Linked DNA regions of Elephas maximus indicus. The protein of the gene in region 2 purifies or fractionates together with the protein of the main gene of each other region. This does not show direct contact. Links are inferred from orthologs where the notes say so. Each region holds a gene or a part of one and is shown on either strand. Other genes may lie near its edges. The genes, in order: AP2B1, MEX3C and MYCBP2.

What was found.
Region 1: the proteins of MEX3C (region 2) and AP2B1 purify together in Homo sapiens (affinity purification with mass spectrometry; 4 studies listed by BioGRID and IntAct, with this or other methods). This does not show direct contact. The link is inferred for Elephas maximus indicus from reciprocal best matches to the Homo sapiens genes MEX3C and AP2B1.
Region 3: the proteins of MEX3C (region 2) and MYCBP2 purify together in Homo sapiens (affinity purification with mass spectrometry; 3 studies listed by BioGRID and IntAct, with this or other methods). This does not show direct contact. The link is inferred for Elephas maximus indicus from reciprocal best matches to the Homo sapiens genes MEX3C and MYCBP2.

The regions. Positions count from the first base shown.
Region 1 is NC_064837.1:30,138,071-30,148,812, forward strand, and holds the start of AP2B1 (AP-2 complex subunit beta), read left to right. Parts: upstream 1-5,874; 5' UTR 5,875-6,016; intron 6,017-6,032; exon of another isoform or gene 6,033-6,213; intron 6,214-6,231; exon of another isoform or gene 6,232-6,454; intron 6,455-10,742. Other genes in the region: PEX12 (peroxisome assembly protein 12), read right to left, coding at 461-1,011, 1,328-1,453. UniProt on the Homo sapiens protein: Component of the adaptor protein complex 2 (AP-2). Adaptor protein complexes function in protein transport via transport vesicles in different membrane traffic pathways.
Region 2 is NC_064829.1:59,727,639-59,738,280, forward strand, and holds the start of MEX3C (RNA-binding E3 ubiquitin-protein ligase MEX3C), read right to left. Parts: upstream 4,675-10,642; 5' UTR 4,366-4,674; coding exon 3,618-4,365; intron 1-3,617. UniProt on the Homo sapiens protein: E3 ubiquitin ligase responsible for the post-transcriptional regulation of common HLA-A allotypes. Binds to the 3' UTR of HLA-A2 mRNA, and regulates its levels by promoting mRNA decay.
Region 3 is NC_064832.1:70,487,188-70,497,593, forward strand, and holds the start of MYCBP2 (E3 ubiquitin-protein ligase MYCBP2), read right to left. Parts: upstream 4,328-10,406; 5' UTR 4,034-4,327; coding exon 3,741-4,033; intron 1-3,740. UniProt on the Homo sapiens protein: Atypical E3 ubiquitin-protein ligase which specifically mediates ubiquitination of threonine and serine residues on target proteins, instead of ubiquitinating lysine residues.

The DNA.
Region 1 (10,742 bases), on a different chromosome or scaffold from region 2:
TAGGAGAACATATATATATGTTCTCGTAAGCACTAACTAGTAGTAGCACAGCATCATAGTTAAGAGCACTGTCTTAAGAATTTTACTGATCTGGCTTGAACCTCATCTCTGCCACATTGTACAGGTGGCTTTGGCAAGGTACCTACCTGTTAGGGCTTTCCTCAGCAGCTAAATGGGGCTAATACATTTACTTCATTGGGTTGTAATGAGGGCTGAGATAATGTACGTAAAGCAGACAACACAGGGCTTGGCACGTAGCAAGTGTACAATAAAAAGAAGCTAGAATAATGTGGATGGTTACCATGATGGAGTTCTGCAATCCTTGTTTTATGAACACAAAGATTTTTTGTATGATTCTATGAAATACCTCAAAGTGGACTGAGGGAGGTGAATTTCATGAAGTTGGGATATGATTTTAAAATTTAGAAATCAGAATATTTTTGAAATGTGAAGGCCTCACCTGGCTGGTGGTTGCTTCATGCTGGCTTCAAATGGTTTGTGCTCCAGTGCTTGTATATCCTGAACTGTCAGTCGACCTAACCGAACTCCAGCCAGCCTCAGCAGTGGTGAGTGATGCTGAGCCTTTCCTAGGATGTATCGAAGTTGCTGTACAAGAAACCAGCCTTCCCAGGCCATGTTGACAAATGGGTAGGCTGCCAGGAAGGCTCGGTAAAATCGTTTCCGGTGGGAAGAAGGGGGATGAATAGAATATTCATCCTCTTCTCTCAGGCTAGAAACCAGCTTCTCCAGCTTCACTTTCAGATAGGGAAGAAGAACCAGGAACATAATAGATTTCCAAAGCTGCTTCTTTGGGAGACCTGCGCTGGCCAATCTCTGAAACTTGTGTGTGTCCCCCATTACAACCCGCTTTAAGCCATAAAAGTTTTCAGAAAACGAGGCACTAGTTTTAGACAAGTAATGCTGCTGAAGGAGAAGATCTAGCAGAGTAAAGATTTCATCAAACCACCTCCAAAAGAAGCCATAGTGGGCAGGATTTGATTCTGCAAGAACCTAAAGTGAAAAAAACAATAAACAAAATTGGTTCTATTTCACAGTTACCATACCTTGTATTTACATTCCCTTTGTTCTTTAAATTCTACATAGTTCGGGCTTAAACAAGTCACTTCTTTTGGGGTCTACCTTACCACCTCCCTGAAATGTTAGAGATTCAGTACAGGACTGCAAGAACAGAGACTCAATAACGCATCATGGGACAGAAATTACATGCTAATTGGTTATTTCAAACCCTAGGCTACCAGCTAAACAAATTATTAGTTTGGTTTTTACTCGGTCGTCCCTAAAACCTTTCTGAGAATTAATACCTTACCTTGACCACATGCTGAAGGGCGGGTCTCACTGCTGTCATTAAACTGTCCTGTGCTACCACCTCAAAGATGGATGGCTGGTCATCCACCACAGAAGCAGTTGTGATGTGAGCCCCATGCTCAGCCATCGTTTCCTGTGTTTACTGGGCTTCACTTTTTCCCAGGCTCTGTAGTGAGCATGAACCTCTTTTTTGGATCAAATGGGTGCTCCGTCTTAAAGATAATTTTTCTGCCAGATATCCGAAACTCCGTACTCAATTTTACAGGCTAAGGGGATGATATTTAACTGGGGGAAAAAGACCTCTTCTGGAAGCGTGGAGAGGGATCTTTCAAATTAAGGAGGTTGAGAACGAAGTTAACGCGGACATGGGTGGAAGCAGTCTTTGGGGAGGGGGTGACCTATCAAATGCTGCACCTCACAGTGTAGAGCCTAACTGGGAGAGAGGTATGGGCGGATAAACGCTGTCCTCTCGAGCGGCCGTCCCGGAGCCTGCGCGTCGGGTACCCTTCATCGTGAGGGCTCAAAAGCCAGCCTTCTCTGAGGGATCGGGGTGCCAACACGGGTCCGGTACGCGAAGACTGTGTCCAGTTTGGGCTGTAAAGTATCCCCGCCCGCGCCCGTCCTTGCTACCTGACCACAGGCGAGGCGCGAAGGACCCACAACGCCACGTTCGCGGGGAGGTCTCGGCTTTATGACAGAAGCGGTAACCGGAAATAGAAGGCTCCGCGGCCTCAGGGAAGTGGCAGGAGGAGAGGGGCTCTAGTCCGGAACGCGGCGCCGAAGCCGGAAGTAGAGAACTCTATGACCCTTCCGCTTCCGCCCCCGCTAAAATTAAAAATGTCTCCTATGGGATAGTTTTGGCGACGAATTCTCTGTTTGTTTTACTTTTTCTGAGTCTATACAGGTGAAAGCCACAGATCTGATCATCTCTTTTTGAAGTTTTTTTGAGGAGGTGTTTGCGGTGCTCCGAGCCCTGACGCCCCCGGACATAATTTGGGCTGGGTACTGAGTCCTGTGTTCCCAGGATCGATGGTGCTAGAGGCCGAGGGACAAAGAAATCGGGAGATGGGAGGGTTTTCTCGTGTGCCCAAGGCAGGAATTGGTGATCGTTAATTTTATTTGACCGCTTTCTGGAAAGGATTCGAAGTGACCCAGCAAGAGATAAGGAGGCCTGGTGGCGCAGCGGGGAAAGCGCTGGGTCGGCGGTTCGAATCCATCAGTCCCTACGCGGGAAAAAGTGTTTCCTTAAAGATTTACAACCTTGGAAACCCTTATAGAGAGCAACCAAAAACCAAACCCAGTGCCGTTGAGTCTTCCGACTCGGCGACACTATAGGTCAGAGTAGAACTACCCCATAGAAGAATTGCCCCATAGAGTTTCCAAGGAGCGCCTGGTGGATTCGAACTGCCAACCCTTTGGTTAGCAGCTGTAGCACTTAACCACTACGCCACCAGGGTTTCCTTATAGAGACCATATAGGACAAAATAGAACTACTTTTCCCTATATGGTCGCTATAAGTTGGAATCAAGTTAACCGCAGTGGGTTTGGTTTTGAGTAGCAGAAAATAGAAGCCTTTAGCTCTATTGCTGCCAATTAAAAAGATTAACCCATTGCGGGTCAATCGATTGGGACTCATAGTAACCCTATAGGACAGGATAGAACTGTCACATAGGATTTCCAAGGCTGTAAATCTTTATGGAAGCAGACTGCTGCGTCTTTCTACGCAGAGCAGCTGATGGGTTCCAACTGCCTTTTGGTTAGAAGCTGAGTGCTTAAGCACTTCGCCACCAGGGCTCATATATACGTATATATAATCTCCAACGCAGTGCCGTCGATTCCGACTCATAGCGACCCTATAGGACGGAGTGGAACTGCCCCATAGAGTTTCCAAGGAGCGCCTGGCGGATTCGAACTGCCGACCCTTTGGTTAGGAGCCGTAGCACTTAACCACTATGCCACCAGGGTTTCTCCTATATATATATACACACACATATATGTATACATATGACATGGTGGTGGTTGTTCCGTGCCAGTGAGTTAATTCTGACTCAGCACCCTATGTACAACACAGAGAAACACTGCCTGGTCCTGTGCCATCCTCACAGTTGTTGCTATGTTTGCGTCCACTGTTGTAGCCACTATGTCATTCCATCTCCTTGAGGGTCCTCCTCATTTTCACTGACCCTCTACTTTACCAAGCATGATGTCCTTCCCTAGGGACTGATCCCTCCTGATAACAAAAGACTATTAGTTGCTCAGAACTTTCATCCAGGCTGGTACCTTAACTGTCTTCCAGGTTTTGGTTACATTCAGCCATATGTTTTCCTTAACATCATCTCAAAGTATTTTCCCTTGTCATTAAATACAACCAAACCAGTTACCACTGAGTCAATTTTGCCTCATGGTGACCCCATGTGTTGCAGAGCAGAGCTTGAATCCATTGGGTTTTCAAGGCTGTGACCTTTTTGGAGCAGATCGCCAGTCCTTCTGAGGTGCCTCTGGGTGGATTCAAACCACCAATATCTAGTTAGTAGTAAAACACTTAACCATTTGAGCTACTCAGGGGACTCCATTATATAGTCTTCAAAAATATGATTTTAAAAAGTATTTTCCAATCATAGAAATAAATACATGTTCAGCGTAGAATGCTTCTAAAATTAGGAAGAAAATTAAAATTCTAACCATCCAGCAATAACCACTCAACATTCTGCTGAATATTTTTAGCCTTTTTAAAAAATACATATGCAATCACACTGTATATATTATTTGGTATCTTGTTTTTTTTTCTCTTGACATGATCGTGAATTTTCTTGTGACATAAAATATTCTACAACATTATGCAGCTATTTGATTTATCATAAATGTTTATGTTCCCTCTTGTGTTAAAATTAGGTTTCCAATTTTCACCTATTTCAATAATAAGGGCAATAATAATATACGACTATGTTTTACAAACCTTTTAGATACTTCTGATTACTTAAGAATGAAATTTTAAGATGCTTACACACTTTTCAGGTAGCGTAACAGTTAAGTGTTTGGCTGCCAACCAATAGGTAGGTGGTTTGAACCCACTCAGCTGCTCAGCTGGAGAAAGACCTGAGGATCTGCTCCCATAAAGATTGTTGTCATTGTTAGGTACCACAGAGTTGATTTTGACTTATAGCGACCCTGTGACAGAGTAGAATTGCTCATAGGATTTTCTGGACTGTAAAATCCTCACGACTGAACCAACTAGCAACAGCATGATAAATGGAGAAAATACTTCACCTGTCAAGGATTTCATTTTACTGAGATCCACAATCCACGCCCATGAAAGCAGCAGTCAAGAAATCAAAGACATAGTGTATTGGGCAAATCTGCTGCAAAAGACATCTTTAAGGTGTTAAAAAGCAAAGATGTCACTGTGAGGACTACGGTGTGCCTGACCCACACCAGGGTATTTTCAATTGCCTCATATGCATGTGGAAGCTAGACAGTGAGTATAGAAGACAGAAGAATTGATGCCTTTGAATTTGGTGTTGATGAAGAGTATTTAATATACCATGGACTGCCAGAAGAACAAACAAGTCTGTCTTGGAAGAACTACAGTCTGAGTGCTCCTTAGAAGACAGGATAGCAAAACTTCGTCGTACATACTTTGGACATGTTATCTGGAGGAACCAACCCCTGGAGAAGGACATCATGCTTGGTAAGGTAGAGAGTCAGCAAAAAAGAGGAAGACCCACAAGGGGATGGATTGACACAGTGGCTGCAACAATGGGCTCAAACAGCAATGATTGTGAGGATGGCACAGGACCGGACAGTGTTTCCTCCCGTTGTACAAGGGGTTGTTATGAGTCGAAATCAACTCCAGGGCACCTAACAACAACATATACTTTTCCACTCTCACAAATTTAATAGGTAAAAATGTGAGGGAAAAAGGATCCACTCCCACACCCATCCCTATTACTTACTCTGATTAACCTTGTTCTCTAGTTCTGGATCCTGGAATCTAGGCCTTTGTTTCTGAAAAGGTGAAAGGGAACTTACTTTTGTGAAAAGCACATGTATTACATGATAGGCGCTTTACCTACTTTATCTCATTTAAGGTTTACAACCCAGAGAAAAGAAAATTAAGACTGCGGTGAAGTTAAGTAACTTTCCCAGTCATCCTCAGGGCTGGAATTCGAACTCATGTCTAATGGCGACTCAATCTCTTCTTGCATCGCTCTCCTCTCGTCCCACTGCCTGTGTATAATCCTTGGCTGGACCCAACACGTGAATTTGCTGATTTTGTTTTGTTTTCAGAAAGGAACATGATATTTCACCTGCTCTATATGTAAACTTTTCAGAGAACTCCTGTGCGAGGAAATAAATCCAGAGAATGTCAGTTTGTTCAATATATCCCTTCAGATAGCCACTAAACAGCCTCCGGGTCCCAGGTCTCAAGACCTCTTCTAGACCAAGCAAATCATTCTGTCGCCAAGACGACAGAGGTCACAGCCTTTCTGATTCTCCGGCGCACGCCGATGACGTCTCGCGACTAGGTCCTCTTACGTCACGTTTCCTGTCCCCCATCTTTGTCCCTGGCAAAGTGGGTTTTGCGCAGTGGCTTAGACCTGCAGAAGGAATCGTGACGGGCAAGAAACCATTACACCACCACCGAGGCCGCGCTCTCTGGCTGCTGCCGCCTCCCCCGCCCTTGCCTCCGGTGAGTTCGAGCTGGCCGACTTTGGGGCGTGTCCCTCATTAAAGGGAGGGAGGAAAACCCCTGCCCGGGTCGGAGACGGAAGGGTCGAAATCCTAGAAACTTGATTGTTTGATTGTTGAGGGCGAGGGAGCCGTCGTGTGTGACCGTTGTGAGGAAGAGGGTTGGCGAAAGAGACTCCTCCGCGCTGGCTTGGTGAGGTGAGGGAATTGGCGGGCGTGGCCGCTGGCAGATGCGGGGTGCCGTGGCGACGTACGTTCTGTAGCTGCCTTGATGGCTAGTCCGGGAGTTAGGAGGGCCGAAGGCCAGGGGTGTGGCCGTTGGAGACGGGAGGCCGAGGGGAGAACCTTCCTTCTTCCCCGCCTGGCGTCCTTCCCGGAGAGGCTGAGACGTGTCCACTGAGCCCCAAGGAGGAGGATTCCCCCAAAGCTTTGCTTGTCGGTAAGGCCCGACTTTTTCGCCTCCCCTCCAGGATTTTTTTGAGAGTAAGACACTTCTCCCCGCCTTGCAATGGAGGAACCTATCCCTAGAGTCTTAACCACCTGGGGAAAGAAGAGGAATTCCTTACGCTTGGGAGGAAGAAAAAGAAACCTCCAGCAGTTTGACCAGCTGTGAGAGAGGAGGAAGCAAGTGGGGGTTAATCTTACAGCAGCATGGTTTTGGGTTTTTTTTCTTTTTCCTTTCTGGGCTTAGCAGGAATGATCTGGTTTAGGAATGTTGGTAGGTTAAGGTAGTAGTGAAGAAACTAGAACTTCCTGTTATTTCCACATTCTTTGAATCCAAAGAATTTATGCATGCTATTTGTTTACAGCAGTGGGTTTTTTGGTTATTTGTTTACAGGGTAATCTTATATCTTGGAGCAGGCTTTTGTTGAACTCACCTGGTTCCGTGCGGATGCTTCATTAAATTTTGACTTTAAAAAAAATTTTTTAAATGCAGAATACTGTTACCATAAATGTTATGATTTAAAAAAAAAAAAGACGTAGCAAGTTCAAAAAAGGCAGAATGACTGAGAAAGAAGGTGGTCTAAATTTAAATTATTATCTTGTGTTCTGCAATTGCTTAGCCTCGGGGTACACTTACAAAGTAATAATAGAAAGCAGTAGGTGAAGGAGATGCAGCTGTGTAAGAAAACGTGTAACACATTCCAGTGATGACTAAATGTGGTGGTAAGGTGAGTACTGTTTGTAGGTGTCTTAACAGTTGAAACTCCCAAGGAAGCAGAAAGGATAGTGTGTTCTGCAAACAGCCTCACTGAAAGTTAGGTGGTAAAATTAATATAAAGCTAACATTCTGACTGTGAATTAAGAGATTCATGTAAGCCCAGTTCTTCCATCTTTTTTTTTATTTTCTTAAATAGGTGTATATTTTTGCAATATCACATTTTAGGCACAGATTTGAACCAGGCCTGAACACGGAATGAATTGGGTAGGACCTAGTCTCCTTTCTTCTTTCACTCCAGACTTAAGTTTTCCAGAGTGTATTGGTATTTCAGTTAAGAAGTGGATGGATATAAAACTTTTGGGCTCATTTCTTACTGTATAATATTAACTAATTCGTGTTCTGTCACATTTGAATAGGAATCACAAACAATTTTGGCTTTTCAATGTCTGTTGTGATTTTTAGGAGCTATCTTTTTTATATGATACCTGAAGATGCTACCATCTTTGCATTATTAGTATTTGATTAGAAATGAACTTAGCACCTCTCACCTTTGTAATAAAAGGTTGCAGGAATGACCTTTCTGCTTTGTAATTTGGTTAACTCTTTAGCCAGTTTTTCCCTATGGAGCACTAAACTGTAAAGCCCAACTTCTGTGAAAAGCTTAGTGGCCTCCTCAGCACTAATTTAACTACCATTTCCCAGAGAGCCATTTGAAATTAAGATCCTATTAATTTTTTTCTGGCCTTATTCTACTGAGGCTATTAATCTTATTTTGTTGCTCATTTTTTCTTTTAGAGGACTGGAGGGAAATAGGTGGGGAGGTTTTTTTCACAACCTATATTTGGTAGAAACTGGGTTATGTTAAATCTAAATATATAGTCCTGTGCAGGGAGGCCCTCTCTGAAATGTGGTGACATCACACTCTGGGCTAGGACAGGTAAGATTGAATGTGTGCCCTGACTGTGGCAGCTTTGTTGTTTAACAGTACCCCTAGGCCATACCGGGAGCCCTGGGAATAGTCAAGTGTCAGATTGGTCAGTTAGGAAAGTAGTGTGAGTTGGAGCTCCAGGGTGGCTTTGCTTATTCCTGGGGCTCTCCTGAAAGAACCCCAGGAGGAGCTTGATTTTTTTTTTTTTAATTTTTATAGTGCTTTAAGTGAAAGTTTACAAATCAGGTTAGCCTCTCATACAAAAATTTATACACACCTTGCTCTATATTCCTAATTGCTCTCCCCCTGATGAGACAGCACACTCATTCCCTCCACTCTTTTCATGTCCATTCGGCTAGCTTCTGACCCCCTCCACCTTTCCATCTCCCCTCCAGACAGGAGATGCCAACATAGTCCTTTGTGTCTACTTGATCCAAGAAACTCACTCTTCACCAGTATCATTTTCTATCCTATTGTCCAGCCCAATCCCTGTCTGAAGAGTTGGCTTTGGGAACGGTTCCTGTCTTGGGCTCACAGAAGGTCTGGGGACCATGACCACCGGGTCCTTCTAGTCTCAGTCAGACCATTAAGTCTGGTCTTTTTACAAGAATTTGGGGTCTGCATCCCACTGCTCTCCTGCTCCCTCAGGGGTTCTCTGTCAGAGCAGTCATTGGTTATAGCCTGGCACCATCTAGTTCTTCTGGTCTCAGGCTGATGTAGCCTCTGGTTTATGTGGCCCTTTCTCTCTTTTTGGGCTCATAACTCCATTGTGTCTTTGGTGTTCTTCATTCTCCTTTGTTCCAGGTGGGTTTAGACCAACTGATGCAACTTAGACGGCTGCTTGCTAGAGTTTAAGACCCCAGACGCCACTAGGAGCTTGATTTTTTTGCTCTTCAATACATCCTTGATTTTTTTTTTTTTTTAATGGGCTCCATCTTGGTTACTTTTTTTGTGGCTTAATGCAGACATCAGTTTTCACCAGCCTGTATTTTGGAGAATCTGGCTGTGACCATCTCTGGGGTGTGGTTAAATGTCCCCCCAACCACCACCTTTTTTTTTTAAATTATATATTTTTTTATTGAGGTGAAATTTGCATAACATGAAATTAACTAGTTTAAGGTCAATAGTTCAGTGGCATTCACAGTGTTGTGCAACCACCATCTCATTTGTTTTTGTTTGGACCGTCTTCGTTTTTCTTGGAATTCCTTTTGGCTTAAGGCAGGAACTGACATGGTACAATGATTTTCTGCAAATGTGAATAAAGGGATATTTCATTACAATAGTTTAAAACAGTGTGCGCTAAGAGTGGTATGCTCCTCTCTCTTTAGAGCAGGAATTCTTATGATCTATGTATAAGTATGCAGGGATACTAAGGAGCCCTAGCAGCGCAGTGGTTAAGTGTGTTTGCCTGCTAACCAGCAAGTTAACGGTTCTAACCCCACCCAAGGGTTCCACAGGAAAAAGACTTGGCAATCTGCTTCCCAAAAGATTGTAGCAAGAAAACCTCATGGGGCAGTTCTGCTCTGTCACCTGGGGTCACTATGAGTTGAAATTAAATGGCATTTAACAACAACAACAATGGGGAATATTTGACCCTCTCTCTTGAAGTTTTGTGTGTGGGTACGTTGTTCTCTAGTTAAGAACACTTAATCACAGTGAACAGGAAATAAGTATATTCCTTGACAATGAAATTTCTTAAGAGAGATTGTGATATGTGTGGGCTGCTCATAAAGACTGGACTGAGACTAGGTTAGTTAAAAGTTTAACAGATTGTGGTGAAAATTCCTGTTGAGAATTTAATGTATGTATGTATGTATATGAGAGCTTTAAACAACAGAACACTTTTTGTGCCCACTTTCAAAACTGGGTGAAAATTTCCAAGCAGATTTTGTTTTTAAATCTTCTGAGTTTTGATGCTCTTACAGGATTTAGAGTAGCATAGTAACATCCTGGGTAGACCATGATGGACTTTAGCCGTGGGCCTCTTTGAGGCATTAGCAATCATTTCTGTATGCTGGTTTTTCTGTTTGCACGTATGTATGTAAGAATGGCATGGGGGCGGAGTCTGATCTCTAACTGAACAGGGGGAGGAGAGAATCTCTATCAGTATCAGCAGCCCAAGGCTGATTCCTCTGAGGCAGACCTCCTCCCTCCAACCTTTTTATCTATTCTGACACCACCTGTCCCTTCCCTAGGCACTCTCTACTTCCCTGCGGGTTCAGTAACTCATTGCCACAGCCACACAGAACTCGCAGACGATACTCGAATACTTATGGGGTTTATTAGGGAAGTAAAGCCAAAAAAACAAATCCACCGTCGTCAATTCGATTTCGACTCATAGTGACCCTATGGTAGGACAGAGTAGAGCTGCCCCACAGGGTTTCCAAGGCTGTGAATCTTCGTGGAAGCAAAGTACCACATCTTCCTTTCATGGAGTGGCTGGAGACCACTGACCTTTTGGTTAGCCAAGTGCTTTAGCCGCTGTACCACCAGGGCTTCCTGTTAAGGAAGTAACAGGTTACAATTCAGGTTTAGGAATGCTCAGGATCCAATTCTTTGATCAGGACAACCTCTTCTTAGCTGTGTCCACAGGCAAGTCTCTCTCTGGCCCTCGACCCTTTGGCCTGGCCTCTGCCC
Region 2 (10,642 bases):
AACTGGATTATCAATGACTGTACAAACCGGAATAAAACCCATCGACTTAAGCCTCCTGGTAACACCACTATGAATGCGTCTTGCAGGCAATACATTAAAAAATATAAATGTTTCCAAGTTTACAAAACTAAATCTTAAATCTATTGTCAGGTTTACTTTTGATTTTTACATTGTAAACCAAAAAAACCAAACCCATTGCCATCGAGTCGATTCCGACTCATAGCGACCCTATAGGACAGAGTAGAACTACTACATAGTTTCCAAGGAGCGCCTGGTGGATTCAAACTCCCGACCTTTTGGTTAGCAGCCATAGCACTTAACCACTACACCACCAGGGTTTCCTTACATTGTAAAGCTTCTTTGATTTAAGACTCTTTAGATCTTAGCTTTATTTTATACAGCACTGTTGGCTTCTTTTAAATGAGATGCGAAGTTTAAAAACCAAGCCCAATTCAACACCTACAAATGACCATACGCTACTGGGGAGAATAAATATGAGGTCAAACACTCTGCCGACTTTCATCACCATCAAAAGCACTGTTTCTTTCCTTTTCTTTTTTGAAAGGTACTGGAACCAGAGGCCATCTACATTGAGCTGCTTGTCTATATGACTCAGAATTCCATTTGTCCTACTCCTTCCTTCAGAGCTGAAGTCATAAATGTCTCCATCTGTGACATAATTATTTCCAGAACCAATTAAGAGATGTCATATAGAAAATTATGACTTCGGGTACTGAATAAAATAGCAAGAATGGGTAATTTTTTAAGGATGAAAGTTTAGCTCATTGAAACCAAACAACTAAACTAAATGATTTGCCCTGTTCTAGTCACTTTTTTTTTTTTTTTAGTCACTTAGGGAAAAGGGATAGGTACTCTCCCAGGGGGAAATTACCACACCATGGAGAGGATGCAACAAACATTAGAAGTAGCCTTACTCTCCAAAGGAGGAAATAAAAGACTTCACAGGTTTTATTGTGGTGTTGGCTGTGAGTGGGGGTGGCAAAGGGGTCAATGATCCACTAGTTGAATGGTTCAAAACAGGAAAAGGGCAAGACTTGCTGCTCTTAAGATAAGATAGAGAATGATGACATACTTTTAGCAATAATATGTCAACTCTGGGAAAATATTAAGTGCAAAAGGAATTGTCAGCAATTTGTCTCCATGTCCTAAGACATAAATATATCCACATTTTCTTATTAATAAGCACAGCCCTGAAACAGGAACAACAAAACAAAAAGACCACTAAGACTTCATTTCTTTTGCTATCACTTGATTAAAAAAAAGAAACTAAAATCACTTGATAAAAAAAAAATTTTTTTTTAGATGGTACAAAATAGAAGCCTGGAATTAATCCAGCTTACTTTTTAACTAATGGATTTGTATAAAGATAGCAAGCAGATTGTGGAAAAAGGACAATTTCACAGTGCTTTAAAGGGTATAACACAGCGAAGTAAGTTTCTATTAAACTAAATCCACAATGCATATTATTAATTTGTCCCTTAATATAACTGTCATGTAAATGTTCTTCTTTTGTTATCCTAAACTGTCACCACAAGCTCACTGAAACAAACAAGGAGGTGGCATCCTAGCATGGCATTAAAGGTTCTTCATATCCTGGTCTGCACACCTTCCTGGCCCTTTTTCACACTCCCTTTTACAAATCCTAACCCAGACCCAGTGCTAGATACTAACAAAACTCAACACTACTTGCCAGTCACACTCAAGAGATTATTCCTCCACATCTTTCCTCTCATTGTTCTTCTGGTCTTTCTTCCATCTCCATGTGTTAAAGTCCTATCCATACTCCAAGGCCCTCCAAGGTCGAAGTTCTCATATGTACCACTTTTTCTTTGTCACACACTGTAGTTTGTGACACTAACTAGGTAACAGTTTAGTGCCCTTCCACTGTTTATTAGACTGTTAGCTTTGTAAGGGCAGAAAGTTTGTCTGAATCAACCTCACATACCCAAGTGACACAAAGTCAAACGCTTTGGAACTACCAGCCTGACAGAGCCATTCTTCGACGTTCTCAAATGAATGGCCAACTCATTCTAGACCTACAAATTGAGATGTTATAATTTCATCATGTGTAGGTGAAACAGTTATTATCCTGTTGTTATGAGAGTCGATTCCAACTCATGGTGACCCCATGTGTGCAGAGTAGAGCTGCTCCACAGGATTTACATGGCTGTGATTCTTTAGAGGTAGATCTCCAGGCCTGCCTTCTGAGGTGCCTCTGGGTGGGTTCGATCTGCCAACCTTACAGCTAGTAGTCAAGGCTTAGGCATTTGTGCCACCCAGGGACTCCTTATCCTAAATGATGCAAACAAAACAAAATGGTACAAACAGGAATGTGAAATTGACTTACCACAAACTATAGGAATAAACTCCTTTTTGACTGAATGGCACCATCTTTGAGCTGTGCTTTTAAGTGCCAAATCATCAGGGAGTCTGAAATAAGCTCTTTCTATCCAGATTTCAGATGGGGTTTCCTTATTAAAATCCTAGAGGTAAGAACGGCGCCAACTCTGATATCTGAAACCACCATTTCAACAGAACTCTTATTTATGTGTTTTTTAGACCACTTGGGAAAGATGAGATCATTTAAGCAGCAGCGCCATCATCTATTTGACCCCCACGGACGCTCTCAACCTAACAGTAAAGAGCCGTGCAATAACGTGGCTAAACCATATTGTACATAAGAGGCAGCGGGTAATAATAAAGTAGGAAAACTACATTTAAGATCATAGGCTCTTTCCCCAAAATGTCAGATACAGAGGTACTCCCAGCATCCCCTTCCCCCACCTTCACAAATCTACTCCTGGAATCTGAGACATAGGTCCTTTGTCTGAACAATGTGGGAGGAGTCTGTCTGCAGTATTGGTGTGCTGGCAAGTGAAGAGAATTGACCGAAAACTGTAAAAACGCAAAGTTTCTTAACTCAATTACCTTGCTATCCAATTTTCCTTTACCGCGTACACGAAAGACAGTACAAGACAGCCAGTGTCCCTTTCTGAGACAGAAAATGTATCAAAAGGAATACAGTAAGCTCAGGCGAGTCAGGCTGCTCTTCAAAAGCCAAGTTTCTGAATAGCTGAGGGGAGGCGGCGGGGTGGGGGCTACTGACCCTTCCCTTTCGAATGAGCTTTCTACAAGACTCCATTTCTATCCATTTCTTCATCTGAATAAGCTGGGTAAGGAAAGCTAACAGCTTCTTCCTCAGCTTTTACAAAACTGTCTGCAGCACGAACTTACAATTTCGAGGCTTTTAGTTTACAGCCCCGAATCCACACTCATCTGATGCGACCTTTTACCACGTCGCTGAGGTTTCTGGTGGCACGCCAGTTAGTGTTCCACGAATACAGCCCGAGCAGAGAACCCCACCGGATTAGGTGGCTCAAGAAACTTAACACCTTTTATCAAAAGGAGTGGAACAGCAGGGGTTTCGCAGGGTGACCCATCTTCTGGCCTCTTCGACTCTGGGCTCCTCCCAGACCCCTCGGCAGTGGACTTTGGGGGACTCGTCGTATTCGCCTTTCTTGCCCCGAGCTTGTTTCTCAGGTCTCCCCACCCACGCCCAGGGCCAAGCTCAGTTGGGCTCCCCTCCCCGCACTCACCCTGGCGACCGACAATCTCGGCGACATGCTCGGAGCTGGGCACCGGGACGCACTCGGTGGTGTTGACGCTCTTTCTCCGGAGCAGGGCTGCCTGCTCCCCGTTCAGGGCGGCCGCCGCCGCCCCGCAGCCGCTGGGGCCGTAGGCGTGGGACAGCATCGCCGCCATCATGCCCTGGGCATCGTCCCCTCCGTAGAGTACCCCCGCCGCCGCGGCCGCCGCGGCCGCCTCCCGGGCATCGAAGCCGGCGGCGGGCAGCAGCACCGACCCCAGGGACCCGCCCGGGGTCGGCGGGGTCTGGGAGGAGGCGGCCGCGGGCGGCGACAACAGCAGCAGGGACGGCCGGTCCTCCTCTTCGCCCTCCTCCAGCTCCTCCTCCTCCAGCAAGTCGCCGTCCAGCTCCGCTTCCTCCCCCTCCTCCTCCAGCTCCAGCTCGGCCTCCTCCCCGGCCCCGGGCCCGCCAGGCGGAGCCTGCTCCTCCGGAGGCAGCCCCGCCGCCCGCCGGGCCTGGCCCTGCACCGCCGCCGCCGCGGCCCGGAGCGCCGGAGCGCCGGGCTCCGCCGGGCTGGGCTCCTCGAGGCCTAGCACGGCCAGGCGCTCCCTCAGCAGGAGCCCGTCCCCCTCGAGCTCCGGGCCGCCCGCGGGCGGTGGCAGCGGCGGGGGCGGCGGCGGGGGCGGCTGCGGCTGGGGCTGCGGCAGGGGGGCCGGGGCCGCCGCCAGGGCCAGGGCCGCGGAGCTGCCGCTCGGCATCGCGGCGGCGTGCTGTCAATGGCGGCGGCGGCGGCGGCGGCCGGGTCAGGCGCGGCAGACGGCGAGCCCCATGGCGGACAGGGCCCGGCCCTGCTCAGCGCGCAAACACCTTTCCTCTGGGGAGGCGGCGGGGCCGGCGACCCAGGCTGGGGAGCGCCAGCGCCGCCCGGGTAGCGGAGAGGGCGGGGTGGAGGGGCAGGGGAAGGAGGCCAAGGTAGGTAACTAGGTGGGTGGGTGGGGACGGCAGCGGCTCCCTTCTCAGGCTTTCTTTTGTTTCATGGCCTTAACCAGCCCCCGGCGCGCGCGGCGGCGGCGGCGGCGGCGGCGGCGGCGACGCCCCACGCCGCTCTCCGAATGAAGCCGGCGCGCTCTGATTGGCCGCTTCTACTCTTTGGGAGCCCGCCCTCTTTCCTCGCAGCCGGCTCGCTCCTTTCCCTAGCCCCACCCCCCACCCACTTCTCGGACCCCGCCCCACCCCGTGCCAGAGCTCTCTGATTGGGTGTCCACGACCGGCCGGCCCCTGAAGGCTTCTCCTTCCGCCCTCTCTCCTTTCCCCCTCCCCTCCCTCCCTTCCCTTTACGGGCTCCCGAGAACAGGGACTGTGATTGTTCGGTTTACAAGTCACTCTTTGTGACGTTACCCCCCCCGCTGGGGGCGGGGAAAAGGGACGAAGGCGCTGTAGCGGAGGAGACTGAAACTATGGGCCGGGCAGGGCCCTCGCGCAGGCGCCTGGAACATAAGCCCACACCTAGGCTAATTCCTTCTACCCGTCCCCGTTGCCCACCTGGGTCGGGTTTTTTAGGGCACTGTGCGAGCGGCCTTTTGAGTCGGAATCGACTCGACGGCAGTGGGTTTTTTTTGGGTGCGATTGGCCTAGGAATGGAACCGTGGGCATAGGCCAGGAGGGCGTTGTCTACCCGAGATACCCTCTATTCGGGTTAGGGCCTTAGGGGAGTCATCGAAGGAGGGGCCGGTGGAGTGTCCACCTTTCCAGTAGCCAAGGTGATTTCCTGAGCGGCGTGGCTCCTGGGCCTTCCCTGCAACGACCCAGGCAGCTCCTCCCCGGGGCAGGATCCTCCCACGCTCAGCTGGCCGGGTTTTCCCTGCGGAACTGGTTGGTTCTATCAGGAGCCTTCAAGTGCTTTGGGTTTTGGGGGCTTTGATAGGAACTCAGTTGTTTCCTAGCTGCGACGCTCTTCCCACAGTATGGCCCAAGTGATCTTACACTCTTCTAGAGACTTACTTTTAAATGGCTGGTTAAAGAAGAACAGAGCCTGCTACTACTTTTCTCCATTTAAGGCTATGTCACACCCATTAGCTCCTTTTAGTGCCAGGTAGTGTCCCCTGGAGGAGCCCTGGTGGCGCAGTGGTTAAGCGCTTGACTGCTAACCAAAATGTGGAAGTTGCAACCCACCAGCCGCTCTGTGGGAGAAGGATGTGGCAGTCTGTTTCAGTAAAGATTTACAGCCTTGGAAACCCAATGGGGCAGTTCTACCCTGACCTATAGGGTGGATATGACTTGGAATTGACCCTATGAAAAGGTTTTAGTCTCCCCTGATTAGTCTTAACCACAGGTAGTTGTCCTGTAGAGATATAATGTGAGCAACAATCCAATTTTTAACTTTCTATTGACCACATTTGGGAAACTTGGTGGCGTTGTGGTTAAGAGCTACAGCTGCTAACTAAAAGGTCACCAGTTCGAATCCACCAGGCACTCCTTGGAAACCGTATGGGGCAGCTCTACTCTTTCCTATAGTTTTGCTGTGAGTCGGCATCTACTCCAGGGCACTGCGTTTCGTTTTTGGTGTAGTGATGCTGTTGGAGCCCTGGTGGCTCAGTGGTTAAAAGCTCAGTGGCTAACCAAATGGTCAGGGAATGGAAACCACCAGCCTCTCCTTATAAACCTTATGGGGCAATTCTACTCTGTCTTACAGGGTCGCTATGAGTCGGAATCTACTCGATTGCAGGGGGTTTGGTTTTCGCTTGGAGTGACCCCATTAAAAAAAGTAAAAAGAAACAAAGTTTTAATAAATATATCAAAAATATTCACATTTCAATATGTAATCAATATAAAATTATTAATGATATGTTTTACTTTTTTAATACTGAGTCTTAGAAATCTTGCGTGTATTTTACACTAACCAAACCAAAACACCAAACCTGTTGCTGTCAAGTTGATTCCAACTCTTAGTCTGCCCTATAGGACAAAGTAGAATTGCCCCACAGGGTTTCCAAGGAGTGCTTGGTGGATTCCAAGTGCCAGTCTTTCGGTTAGCAGCCTAACTCAACCATTACGCCAGCAGGGTTTCCTTTAAATTTACAGCATATCTGAATTCAGTTTGCTCTAGACTAGCACACTTCAAGTGCTCACTACAAAACTGAAAACCAAACTCGTTGCCATGGAGTTGATTCTGACTCATACAGCTACTAACAACTCTAAACCTGTTGCTGTGGAATCTATTCCTGCTCATAGCGACCCTGTAAGAGAGAGAAGAACTGCTCCATAGGTTTCCAAGAGTGTATATCTCTATGCAAGCAGACTGCCACATCTTTCTTGCGGAGAGGAGCTGGTGAGTTCAAACCCCTGACCTTTTGGTTAGCAGCGCAGGGCTTAACCACTGCACCACAAGGGCTCCTTCTAGCAGCTCTAGACCGCCTGATTTTTGACTTATAACTTGGGGTCCTTTGTATATTGATTTTTTAAATTTACTGTATCTTGTCCTAAACTGGTTTCTTAAGAGTTAACCTTAATTCAACACCTACTTTTCTAAATTATCTAGGATGCTACAAAGACAATAGTCTAAATTGTGCCCATCTGGCCACTTGCACAATCCGGCTTCAATCTACCCTGCCCCTCCAAAAGGATAGAGAATTTTAGCTAACAGTATGAGTTGATTCCGACTCATAGTGACCCTACAGGACAGAGTAGGACTGCCCAACAAAGTTTCCAAGGAGCTCCTGGTGGATTCAAACTGCCAGCCTTTTGGTTAGCAGCCATAGGACTTAATCACTAGGCCACCAGGGTTTCCACTGATCAAGCAAGCTTGGCTGCTAACTGAAAGATTGGAGGTTTGTGTCCATCTTGAGGCACCTCAGAAGAAAGGCCTAGTGATGTACTTCTAAAAATTGACAACCTCATACAGCACAGTTCTACTCTGACATACATGAGGTTACGATGAATTGGAATTGACTTCACAGCAATGGTATTTTGCTACCCCTTTTCTGTTACCAGGTGTCTTAGTCATCTAGTGCTGCCATAACAGAAATACCACAAGTGGATGGCTTTAACCAAGAGAAATTTATTTTCTCACAGTCTAGTAGGTTATAAGTCGAAATTTGGGGCCTTGGCTCCAGGGGAAGGTTTTCTCTCTCTTTCGGCTCTGGAGGAAGTTCCTTGTCCTGTCTTCCTCTGGTCAAGGATCTTCTCAGGCGCAGAGACCCTATGTCCAAAGGACGCGCTCTGCTCCTGGTGCTGCTTTCTTGGTGGTATGAGGTGCCCAACTCTCTGCTTGCTTCCCTTTCCTTTTTATCTCTTGAGAGATAAAAGATGGTGCAGGCCGCACCCCAGGGAAACTCCCTTTACATTGGATCAGGGAGGTGACCTGGGTAAGGGTGGTGTTACAATCCCACCCTAATCCTTTTAAACATAAAATTACAATCACAAAATGGAGGACAGCCACAGAATACTGGGAATCCTGGCCCAACCAAATTGTTACACACATTTTTAGGGGGACATAATTCAATCCATGACACCAGGAAACCCTGGTGGCTTAGTGGTTAAGTGGTATGGCTGCTAACCAAAAGGTTGACAGCTTGAATCCACCAGGTGCTCCTTGGGAACTCTGTAGGGCAGTTCTACTCTGTCCTGTAAGGTCTCTGAGTTGAAATTGACTTGACAGCAATGGGTTTTCCTGTTACCAAGGAGCTCTGGTGATGCAGTGGTTAAGCGCTTAGCTGCTAACTTCGAGGTTGACATGCTGTGGGAGAAAGACATGGCAGTCTGCTTCCACAAAGATTATAGCCTTGGAAACCCTTTGGGGCAGTTCTACCCTGTCCTATAGGCTCGCTATGAGTTGGAATCGACTGGACTGCAATGATCTTTTTTTTTTTTTTCTGTTTATTCCAAGTTTCACTAGCCCTCATAAAACCCATAATGTTACTTCCCTGATAACTCATATTTGTAGCAATAAATTTTAGGGCAGCGATTCTCAGCCTTGGCTGTACCTCAAAATCAAGAAGAGATGTTATAAAAAGATAAGTGCAGAGTCAGGGAGAGGAAAACCCTCGAGATTTGGATTTAGTAGATCCTAGGTGGGACCTGGGACGTGCTTTTTAAAAGCCACTCAGGCTGTTCTGAAACTCATTCAGGTTTGAGAACATTGATCTAGAATTCCAGATTTGGGATTATGGAGGGAATCTTGCCAGTAACTCTACCAAAAAGTGATCCTTTCCTCCCTGCTACCTTCCCAATTAGGCACAATTTTCACTGATTTACTACATCTACACCCATTTTGTGATATGCTCCAATGATATTTCATGGTGCCTTAATAAAGCTACTGGATCTTTTTTTAACATACCAGTCAATAGCTTGTGTAACCAGACATTTACTTATAGAGTATACAAAAATGCTTGCTGTCTGATATTTCAGTTTAATAATGGTTATTTGAAGGCTAGAACTTCTAGTAAAGCAAACCTGATCAAGGAAGAAGCCAAATGAAATATGCAGTGACCACTTCCAAGATGTGTTGGTCATTTGGAGAAAACACATAGAATTACAAGTGAAATACTTAGAAGTCCTCTAGACCTCTTTTCATAAGTTGTCATTTAATGGTCGGTCACCCCTTGGTCTTAAGTTCTCTTCCCGAGGACCCAAAGCAAAAGTTATAATAGGCTGATAGTTCTGCCACACAGTTTTCTCTTGAGAGCGGGAGATGTGAATAGATTCATCCATAAAGTAAACAATAGCATACTAGAGGAATGTGCTCCTTAGAGCAAACAATTATATGAGACCAAAAGGGCAACATTTGCCTAAAAGCAAACGTAAGAAGCAGGAAGGGGGTAGAAAACCAGGACAAAAGTACATGGGGAAACTAGGATGGAGAGCTAACACATTGTGGGGAATGAAAGCAATGTCATGAACACTTTATGTATAAACTATCGAATGGGAAACTAATTTGCTCTTTAAACTTTTGCCTAATACACAATAAAAAATTAAAAAAAAATCTATAGGGACCAAATGGCAACATTTACCCTAAAGCAAAGATGAGACAGTTACAGGGGGTATGGCAGGGGGAGGAATAGGGAAACTAGATTAATGGAAACGGAAAAAATAGGAATAATGAGAATGTTGATACAATGTGGAAAATGTAACCAAATGTCACTGAACAATATGTATAGAAATTGTTAAATGGGAACCTAATTTGCTGTGCAGTCACCAAAAAGAATAATATATTTTAAAAAGGGAATAGATTCATGTAGATAAGATCCAGAAAGATAAGATCTATTCAGCTAAGATAAAAAAAAAGCTAATGGTTTAATTTAGATGTCCATAATATAAAAATTGCTTTCTGCTTCATTTTCACATAATAAATGAGGTTTTGTTGCCAGAATTGAATAAGGTTCTTGCCTCTCACTGGTCAAGAATGAGCCGGTAAGGCACGAAGAGTTTTCCACATGAGCAAACCTTTATTGAAGAGGTTTGCAAGCGGAGACGAGGAGGGCCTAAGCAACACATACCCCTGTCTCCCAGAACAAAAGACTTGCCTGGGTTTTTAAAAGTTCCGGGGCAGGAGAAGATGCATGTTTATTCATAGGCATAGGTGGGAAAAGCAAAGATGTCACCTTGAAGACTAACGTGTGCCTGACCCAAGGCATGGTATTTTCAATTGCATCATATGCATGTGAAAGCTGGACAATGAATAAGGAAGACCTAAGAAGAATTGACACCTTTGAATTGTGGTGTTGACGAAGAATATTGAACATACCACGGACTGCCAAAATAATGAACAAATCTGTCTTGGAAGATGTACAACCAGAATGCCCCTCAGAAGCAAGGATGGCGAGACTGCGTCTTACACAGTTTGGACATGTTGTCAGGAGGGATCAGTCCCTGGAGAAGGACATCATGCTTGGCAGAGTACAGGGTCAGCAGAAAAGAGGAAGACCCTCAAAGAGGTGGATTGACACAGTGGCTGCAACAGTGAGCTCAAGCATAGCAATGATTATAAGGATGGCACAGGAGCGTGCAGTATTTCATTCTGTTGTACATAGGGTCTCT
Region 3 (10,406 bases), on a different chromosome or scaffold from region 2:
AAGACTCATTAACAACTTGTGATATGCAGATGACACTACCTTGCTAGCAGAAAGTCAAAAGGATTTGAAGCACTTACCAATGAAGATCAAAGACTACGGGCTTCAGTATGGATTACAACTCAACATAAAGAAAATAAAAACTCTCACAACTGGACCAAGAAGTAACATCATGATAAACAGAGAAAACACTGAAGTTGTCAAGGATTTGATTTTACTTGGATCCACAATCAATGCCCATGGAAGCAGCAGGCAAGAACCCAAATGACATACTGAATTGGGCAAATCTGTTGCAAAAGGCCACTTTAGAGTGTTAAAAATCAAAGATGTCACTTTGAGGACTAAGAGAAGCCTGACCAAAGCCATGATATTTTCAATCACCTCATGTACACGTGAAAGCTGGACAATGAATAACGAAGATGGAAGAAGAATTGATGCCTTTGAATTATGATGCTGGCAAAGAATACTGAATAAACCATGGACTGCCAGAAGAAAAAACTTGTCTTAGAAGTACTGCCAGAATGCTTCTTAGACATGAGGATGGCGAGACTTCAGCTCATGTACTTTGGACATGTTATCAGGAAGGACCACTCCCTGGAGAAGCACATCATATTTGTAAGGTAGAGGGTCACTGAAAAAGAGGAACACCCTCAAGGAGATGGACTGACATAGTGGGTCATCAATGGGCTCAAACATAGCAACGACTGTGAGGATGATGCAGGATTGGGCACCGTTTCGTTCTGTTGTACACAGGGTGGCTGTGAGTTGAAACCGACTTGACAGCACCTAACAGCAATACAACAACTTCCTTCTATATTAAAGGAAGACAAGTCTGTAACTTCTTTCAGTGGCTACTCTCTCCACCTGTGGTCTTAAAACTGTCCTTGAGATCTCCCTTTGACATCTCCCCATCAATTATCCCTTTCTCTCCTATCTTTGTGGAAACCCTGGTGGCATAGTGGTTAAGTGCTACAGCTGCGAACCAAAGGGTCAGCAGTTTGAATCTGCCAGGCGCTCCTTGGAAACTCTATGGGGCAGTTCTACTCTGTCCTAGAGGGTCACTATGAGTCGGAATCAACTCGACGGCACTGGGTTTGGTTTTTGGTTTCTCATATCTTTAATCACTCCGTCTCAACTACTGAATGCTCCCCACCGTCCCTGCATACTCAAATATCCTTGCGTTTTCAACACCTCCCATTCACTGCTTACCACATTCCTCTACTATGACCATTTCTTCAAAAGTTATCAATGACCTGGAAATTGTTCTCACTTTATTCAGCATTTAACACTTTTGTGGACTTTGCAATCTACTTTCTTAAGACCAAAGACACTACTGCCCCCACCCAGTTCTCTTCCTAATTTCCCTCTCAGCTTACTTCACTGTCTCCTTCTCTCAAGACCTTTACACTTGATGCTCACCAGGGCTTCATCCTCTAGTCTTGCTCCATTCTCGATCTCTGAATGATCACATCCTGTCCTGTAACTTCGACCAGTGCCTCTACACATGGGATTATTTTATATCTATTCATTCAGAGCCTAAATCCCAGCTCCACTTTCTCCATCACCCCTAATAAGAAACGTGATTGAATTCTTAATCAAATTCTCAATAAAGAGAAGTTACAAGCTAAGACATAGAAAAAAATAATGTTAACTATAATAAGCAACAATGTTCTGAGAAAGCAATATTACATAACTTAAGGCTGGTTTTCATGAGTTTTTCTTGAACTAATTTTTCATTTTAATTGACAGCTGGTAAAAAAAACAGATCAAAGACTAGAACCTCATTTACAAATCTTATGTACATGGTTAACTTTTACTAATTGTATCTCATACTGTTAATACAGCTATACATAAATAGAAATTTTATTATTCTATGAGTAGCAGAAAGTCTGAAGGAGCTCTGGTGGTGCAGTGGTTAAGTGCTCAGCTGCTAACCAAAAGGTTAATGGTTGGAACCCATCAGCTGCTCAGCGGGGAAAAGATGTGGCAGTCTGTTTCCATAAAGACTGACAGCCTTGGAAACACTGAGGGGCAATTCTACTCTGTCCTGTGGGGTCACAATGAGCTGGAATCAACTCAACAGCAATGGGTTTAGTTAAAAAGTCAAAACAGTAATATACCAGTCACAAATTACTGCATAAGTCTGGAACAACATCTAAAAGGAACCTGAGTTCTTTCTGAGAGGTTTGTAAAGATGTGCCTACAGCGCCATAATTTAGAGACTCACAGATCTAAATTACACCTAATTATTGGAGCAAACTGTCTGATGAGGTTTTGCGCTATTTTCAAAGGCATTAGAAAAAAAAAACAGACCTGTGCCTTTTTGCCCATCCTTTTAGATAGTAAAGGGTAGTTATGCATATTTATAGCCATATGATACAATAACTCATGTGTCCCTCGTAAACAATTACAGAAATGAGAAGAATGATTGATTTACCTAGACAAAATGTGACCAAAGCTCCGTCTTTACAATTCTCCCCAATGGCTAAGCAGACTGATAAACTACAAACAGCTGACTTACAGCCTCACCCCTTTCACAGTGGGAGGAAAAAACATGTGGTTATTGACTAACAAACTACACATTCAATAAATACAGTGAACTCTTTAATTCATTTGACAAAATCCTACTATTCTCCCGTGTTTTGCAAGAAGCTGTGGGAAAAAAGATGAAACCAACTCCCAATTACCACTGTCAAACCCAAGCTGGTGAAACAAGTCAGTCACCTTCCTTCAGGGTATGTGGCATGTAAGGACACGGAAAAGAAAACAATAGGAGAGTTCTTAGCAAAAAGGCACCCACATTTTAAGAAAAAGAAAATGAAAGTGACGTTTCCCACATCAAGGAAGCTGAAGATGCAGTGAGCCTAACTGAAAAAGACTAAGAGCTACTCATATTTTTTAGTTGATGACAGTTAAACACTCTACCAGCTGTCATATTTTAAAATTCTTCCATTCAGCTTTCTCTTTTCCACTACACAACCCCTCTACTCCAAAGCCCTTAAGTAACAGGAAATTGAACAGAAGACGAAGGGAAATGGCGATGGGGCATCAGAACACAAGAGCAGCGGCGACCAGATCATCTCTAGAACACCAAAAGGCCCAATTATCTAAGAACTGCTCCAAAAATCTCTATCAGACACCTTTCACGTCCACACAACTCACCATATGCATCCCTTACTTAAAACGAAACCTCATGCCTATCTGACAGCTTGATTCTAAGAACTCATCCTATAAATATGACATTATCCTTAACCTAAACTATTGCTCCCTTAGAAAAAGACAGATTTTTTTTTTTTTAAAGCGGTGGAAAGGGGGGAGATGGAATGTCACTGGGGGAGAGGGAAGAGGGGTTGAGGTGGTGAAAGATACTTGCAAATACCATTGCGGCAGAGACAGTGGAAACGGCACTTCCCTCACTACTCTAGCAAATTCTCCTCGTGTATTACCCTCTTATCTTCTACCCATCTTTCCTCCTTCCTCAACAACACACATGCACACACACGTGTCATCGCACCATTACCTTTTCCAGCCTCTCAAGCTAAGCTCCCGCCCTCACACCAACACACTTAGAGCAGAAGCCGCTGCCACCGCACCCTCCTATCTCAATAAGTGCCTGCACCATCCAGCACTGAGCACTTCATGAAAGACTGCTCAGTAAATACGTACGTACACACACACACACATACACACACGCGAGCGCACACGCGGCATGTGGCATAAGGAAGGGCACCCCAGAGACGCACCTGGAGGCCGGGTGTCCAGCGCTGCCGCCCCCCTGGTCTCTGTCACTGAGCGCAGCTGTGTAAATCCTCCGGTAGCGGTCAGCCAGGGCCCGGCCTGACAGCAGCAGCTGGTAGTGACCCCGGGAGTCCGCGGAGGGCAGCCCCAACCCCAGCCCCGTGGCTGCCACGGAGCCCTCGGAAACCGGCATGAACGGCGCCGGGGAGGAAGAGATGGTGGCGGCTGGGAAGAATCCGTCCCCGCCGGGCCCCGAGGAGGCGGCGGCGGGGGAGCCAGTTGCTGAGCACATCATCATCCTCGCCGCCGCCGCCTTGTCCCCGCGGGCCGGGCAGGCAGACACGCGCGCGCACACACAACCCTTTTCCAACGACGACGACTCCGGCGGCGGCCTCTCCCTCCCGCAGCAGGGAGACTACAAAGACAGCGACCTCCTCCTCCTCCTCCTCCTTCTCCTCCTCCCCCCCGCGCCGCCCTCGCCGCTACTGGGGCCGCTCATCTAACCCCGCCGCCCGGGGCGTGTGAGAAGGAGGCGGTGCCGCCGCTGCCGCCGCCGCCACCGCTGCCACCGCCGGGGCTACCCGCAATGGGAAGCTGCTGGCCGTACTGAGCATGCGCCACTCCTCGCACATGCTCAGTCATTGGAACCCCTTTTCCTCTCCACCCGCCTCTCAGCTACCACTCCCTCCGCCTCCGGGCTTTGGGCGTGAGGTGGTTGGGTCGTGCAGAATCTGAAGGAAATCCGCTTCTCCGGGCTTTGGTAGCAACCTGAGGGAGAGTAAAGAAAGTGCTGGAGGAGCTGTCAGCTACAGGCGTTGTTGGACTTCAGGTAATGGGGTTCCTTCCAGGTGGGAAAATTTAGGACCAGAAAGAGGGAATGTGCCTATCGCCGGAGAATGAGTATTACGCACTCCTTGTACCTTCCCTCAAAGTCTGTGCTGCCAACGTGAAGATTTGCTGTGAAGAGTGCTGGTTGGATCAGAATTCAAGGCCGTCTGAATGAGAAGTCCCTTTGGCGATTTTATTTTGAATGTATTGTGATTAGAATTTAAATCTGTTTAAATTAGACTTCACTTACACAGACAGGTGGTGATCTAGTGTTCTTTTTTTCTGAGGGAAGTAGAATACACAGTTATGCAAGTATTCTAAAACCGGCTTCATTCCTAAAGTCTTGTTCTTAATATTTACATCAGAGATAAATCGTAATGCAATAATATTGTTCTTAAATAGTCTTGTTAACTCCTCACTCATTCTAGGGGTTCACCCTTATCTTTTGGCAGTGGTCACTTAATGGCTTAGATTTTTCTGCCCAGGCTTACATTATTATAGACAGATGATTCTTAATATGACCTGAAACTATAATTATGACTAAGACTGTATAATATCTGAGGAGGTCAGATTTACAAAGACCTTATCGTTGTTAAGTGTACAAAAGTGTAACATTCTCAGAGTCCCTGTTCCAAAGCAATATTCTGTTAGCCCTTTCTTAAAAAAAAAAAAAATCTTAGAAATATATGCACAAATGCACCATGATTCCTAAGTTTTGTCCCTTTGGCTCTCCGTATAAAGAGTTTACATAATTTATACTCCTGAAAAATCATTTCTAAGTACTATCATTCTAAGTACTATATCCATCATTTACTTCGTTGTTAACTGCTGTCCAGTCAGCTCCGACTCATGGTGACCTTATAAACAACAGAACATGTTGCCTGCTCCTGTGTCATTCTGACAATCACTAGTATGTTCCAGTACATAGTTGTGGCTGTTGTGCCAACCCATCTCACTGAAGGTCTCTCTTGTCCTCACCAGCTCTCTACTTTACCAAAGACGATGTCCTCTTTCCTAGCAATCCATCCCTCCTGGTGAAATGTCCAAAGCAAGCAAGTGGGACAATGTTCTGTTGTGATCCATGGGTTTTCACTGGCTGACTTTTGGAAGTAGATCACTAGCCCTTTCTTCCTAGTCTGTCTTAGTCTGGAAGTTCAGCTGAAACCCGTCCACCATGGGTGACCCTGATGGCATATGAAACACCAACGGCATAGCTTCCAGCATCATAGCAACATACAGGCCACCATAGTACAACACTGACAGATGGGTGGTGGTCATCTACTTACTAGTTCTTATATCAGTGTCTCTTCTTTTAATAGCCTTCATTTTAAAAAAAAAAAAAAAAGTCCTTTTCAGTGTTTTGAGAAGAACAAACAAAAAGTAGGGAAGTAAATTAATTCAAGCTTTTGGGAGGAGGGATGCTAAAAGGAATGCACTGATCTGGGGCTTTGAATGGTAGATGAGTATCATTGTGAAAAAAGGTAAAGACGGGATGATTAACGAATAGGGACAAATGCATAGACATGAGGAATCACAGTATTTTAGTATTGTGGGTTGCTCTATTAAAGAGGTTTTGTATTTGTCTTGTTTCTTCAATGATCTTCTAAGTTCCTTCAGAGCTTCTTGTTTTTTTCTTCATCAGGCCCTAGAATACAACCTTGCCAATAGTAGGTATCCAGTAAGTATTTGTTAGGCTAAATCACTGGGCTGATGCTTCAGCACAGTTACAAACCTAAGTGTTGAACAGGAAGCACCCCCAACCCTGTGGTGAGAGCCAAGACACTGGGGGAAAGACAGCTAAATTCTAGGAGTGGAGTTAAAGACCTGGCAGCTAGATGCTACAAGGGTGTATTACTGTTGCAAGAGCCAGCAAAGTACTGAAAAGGCTCTGAAATCAGACAGACATGGCTTTGGATCCTGACTCTGCCCCTTAACACTTGTATGTCTTTGGGCAAGATTTTCTCTATATTGTTCTGACTTGCTGTCCATATGTTACAGAGTAGAACTGCTCCATAGGATTTTCTTGGCTGTAATCTTAATGACAGCAGATTGCCAGGCCTATCTTCCATGGTACTGCTGGGTAGGTTCCAACCGCCAACTGTTTGCGCCACCTAAGGACCTCCTGTATGTAATGGTCAAAATAATACTTGCTGTTATTGCATGAGATTGTGGGAAGACTTAAAGCATACAGGCCTGCGCACCTTGGCAGATGGCTTTCCACAAATGGTGGCACTTACAAAGAACAAAACAAACAAATATACACACACAAAACTTGTCCACAAGAGCCATAATTGTGTTTGTTCACCCATTACATTCCCAGTGCCTAGCACAGGGTCTAGGCGTAAGTAAGAGGGAAATAGATATCGGTTGGATGAATGAATGAATGTTGCTTGCACAGAAGCATTTCCAGGGTAGGCTCAGGTGATAGCACGTGCTATCAGTGCCAGTTTAGAGTGGAGAATGACCCGTGCTCCTGCACTGGGCTCCTGGTTCCTCCCACCCCTTCCTAAATTTTGCTTCTGTTCTTTCTATACCGGTCAGTCCTAGACAGGCCCCTTCCTGAGCCTTGTGGATACAATCAAAACCCGGTAACTGGATAATTTCCCTAGAAACCTGACGTCGCTGGGTGGTGCAACTAGGCGTGCGCAGAGTCGTACACATGCTCACTTAGGTATCCGAGGGTGGCGTTTCTGTTGCGGTTGGCAGCGTTTCCTTCCACGGCAGCGGCAGCGGCAGCGGTCGCTCTTTTCTAGATTGATAGCCGTTGCAGCGTTTTTTCTCCTCGTTCTCCTCCTCTTCCTGCCTCCGCACTGTGCGATCCCCCACCGCTGCAACTGCTTACAGTTACTGCTGTGGCAGCTGGGCACCTTGGAAAGCTGCCCTGGGATGGCAGGGAATGGGGGAACACGTCAGGAATAAAGGACATTTGGAGTCATACTTTATTCCATTGTCAAGGGGATTCGAAGGGGAGGGTGAACCCCAAGGCAGGTCTCGGGAGTCTCCAGGACAGTCGTTATAGACTAAGAGATGTGGGTTTCTCGCAATCGGCAAAGCAAGCGTCCCCTCCCGCCACTCCTGAGCGCACTACTACTGAATGGCTTACGCTGCCCAAATGTTTGGAGTAGAATAGGGGGGTGAGAATTCTGGATATTCAAGGAACTATGCAGAATGAAAGAATACCAAGGGCTTTGCTTTTATTTTTCCAGCCCAGCTGAGCGCAGCTCTCTACTTTTTCCGTGCTGCCATCTTAGCTTTATCTTCTGGCCAAGCTGGGCGTGTGTGTGCATTTATCTTAGGAGGGCGGGTTGGGGTAGTGGGGTGGAGGGCCGGGGAGGGTGTCGGAGTAGGCTAGACAGGAGTTCATGCCACATTCGCCCTCAAATAATAGCATTGAGCTAAGGCAAGTCCTGAATTTGTCCGTTTTATTAATAAAACATGTGCATAGTATTTTTCAGTCTTTGTGGTTGATACCATGCTCATGTCTCAAAAGAATCTTTTCTGCGATTATAAGATTATGGCTTCATCTTTCACCCTGTGAGCACAGATTTTGTCGTTTTTCCTTCGACATTGCGTACCTGGCACTACAATTTTCTGACCTTTTTCCACATTTATATTTTTCTACTCTGTGTAGTTTAAAAAAATCAGAAGCCACCAACACTGATGGAGTAAATAACATGGCAGAACCCACAATGTGTAGGTAAGAGGACAGAGCCATGTTGTTAGTTTCATTTAAATGGTTAATATTGTAATAATGCTACAGGATTGCAAACTCAGAAAATGCCGTGGTCAAGTCAAGAGTACATTTGTGCAGTAACCTATTGGAGCATTTAAAAACAAAATTGGTAGCTGAAAGCATTTTAAAAGAAGCATGGTAGTTGAGAGCCATTTGAAAGAAATATATATATGCTCAGGTTTGAAGAGAGAGGATATGTCTCACTCTTCAGTGACCTTGGCTTTTTAAGGGCCACAAGATACTGCAATGTTAACTAATATGATGATATTGCACTTTAAAATGAAATATGCTTCATATATTTAATACTCCAGAGTAAAAAGAAAAATTCAACTTAGCACTTGAAATTCTTTTTGAAATGAAAATTGCACTTTAACCCCCTCCCCCAAGATCTCGACCTCTTGCTTTAAACAACTGTGTGTTATATATTTATAGGACCTGAGAATGAGCCTAGAAACTCGGGTGGTGTAGTGGCTAATAGCTACAGCTGCTAGCCAAAAGGTAGGTGGTTTGAATCCATCAGGAGCTCCTTGGAAACCATACAGGATTGGTTTGGTTTGGCTAGAATGAGCCCTGGTGGGACAGTGGTTAAAAGAGCTTGACTGCTAACCTAAAGGTCGGCAGTTCAAACCCACCAGCTACTCCTTGGAAACCTACCTGGGCAGTTCTGCCCTGTCATACAGGGTCATTATGAGCTGGAATAGACTTGATGGCAAAGGGATTTTTGTTGTTGTTGTTAGAATATACAACGATTTCTAAGCATAAAAGGTTAATGCTTTCTCCTTCTTACTCATATTAGCTTAAAAAGATACAAGATATCATACCCAAATTTTCCTACAAATAGAAATTTAGGTCATGGGGGCCTATGTTAAATATGAATATTTTCATCCCCAAAATATTGTTCTAGAATATTTACTGGTAAGTATATGTTTTTGGAGAGTGCAAAGTCAGTGATATATATTTTAATGCAAATCACGACATTTTTTAAAATCATTTTTATGATGCATTTAGGCAAGTGGGTGATTTTACAAACTGATAAAGTCATATAAAGTGTAACTCTTCTAAGGAGTGAAATTTTAAGAACACATTGCTTTAACCCTGAAAATGTCATTGTAGTTCGTAAAGTATTGTTGTTGTTGTTAGTTGCTGTCCAGTTGGCACTCAGGATAACCTTATGTATACCAGAGGGAAAAGTTGCATGGTCCTGTGCCATCTCCATGATCTTTGGTATATTTGAGCCTATTGTCTCTACTACTATGTCAATCCATCTCATTGAGGGTTTTCTTCCTTTTTGCTGACCCTCTACTTTACCAAGCATGATATCCTTTTCTAGCGATTGGTCTTTCCTGATAACGTGTCCAAAGCAAGCAAGATGAAGTCTCAGGAGCCTTGCTTCTAAGGAGTAGTATTAACTACTAAGATTAAATAGGTTAAATCACATTACCTCAGACTCTGAAGGACTACTGGAACTGTATTATACTAATAGCAATTTTATTATACCAGTAGGGTTATGGGCAAATCCAAATAACAGAATATATGTAAATGGATCTAAACAGATTATAGGAGGCATGAAATTATTTTAAAGACATTTAACCTCTCTCAGCCTAAGTTTTCTCATGAGTAAACTGAGGGTTATAATAGCACATACTTCACCAGATTCTTTAAGGATTCGGTTAAATCATGCGTATGAGGTACTTGTTTAGCACACTGCTGGGCAGATAATAACTACTATTAATATTATGTGTGATCCCCTTATTTGGAGTAGGTGTTACAGTCTTTTGCTAGAGGAAGTAAAACACACTTACACAGTTTGAGTTACATAGACTGGAATTTGTAAAAAGTTTTTTGTTGTTTTTGACAAAGAATCCCACCCACTAATACAGATTTACTATATCCTCATGTGACAAGAAGAACAGAATCCAAGGACAATACTTCTTTCCCTAAAACACTCCAATCTTGTGTAATTTGTTAATTCACAAACACATTGCTTACTTTTATTAGTTGAGTTGGTTTTGGGGATTTTAACTGATGACTAAATTTTCACGTGTTGTAGCCGATACAGGTTGTAGTTTCTTCTCAAGTGGCTGATGGCTATAAAAAAAAAATAGAAAAC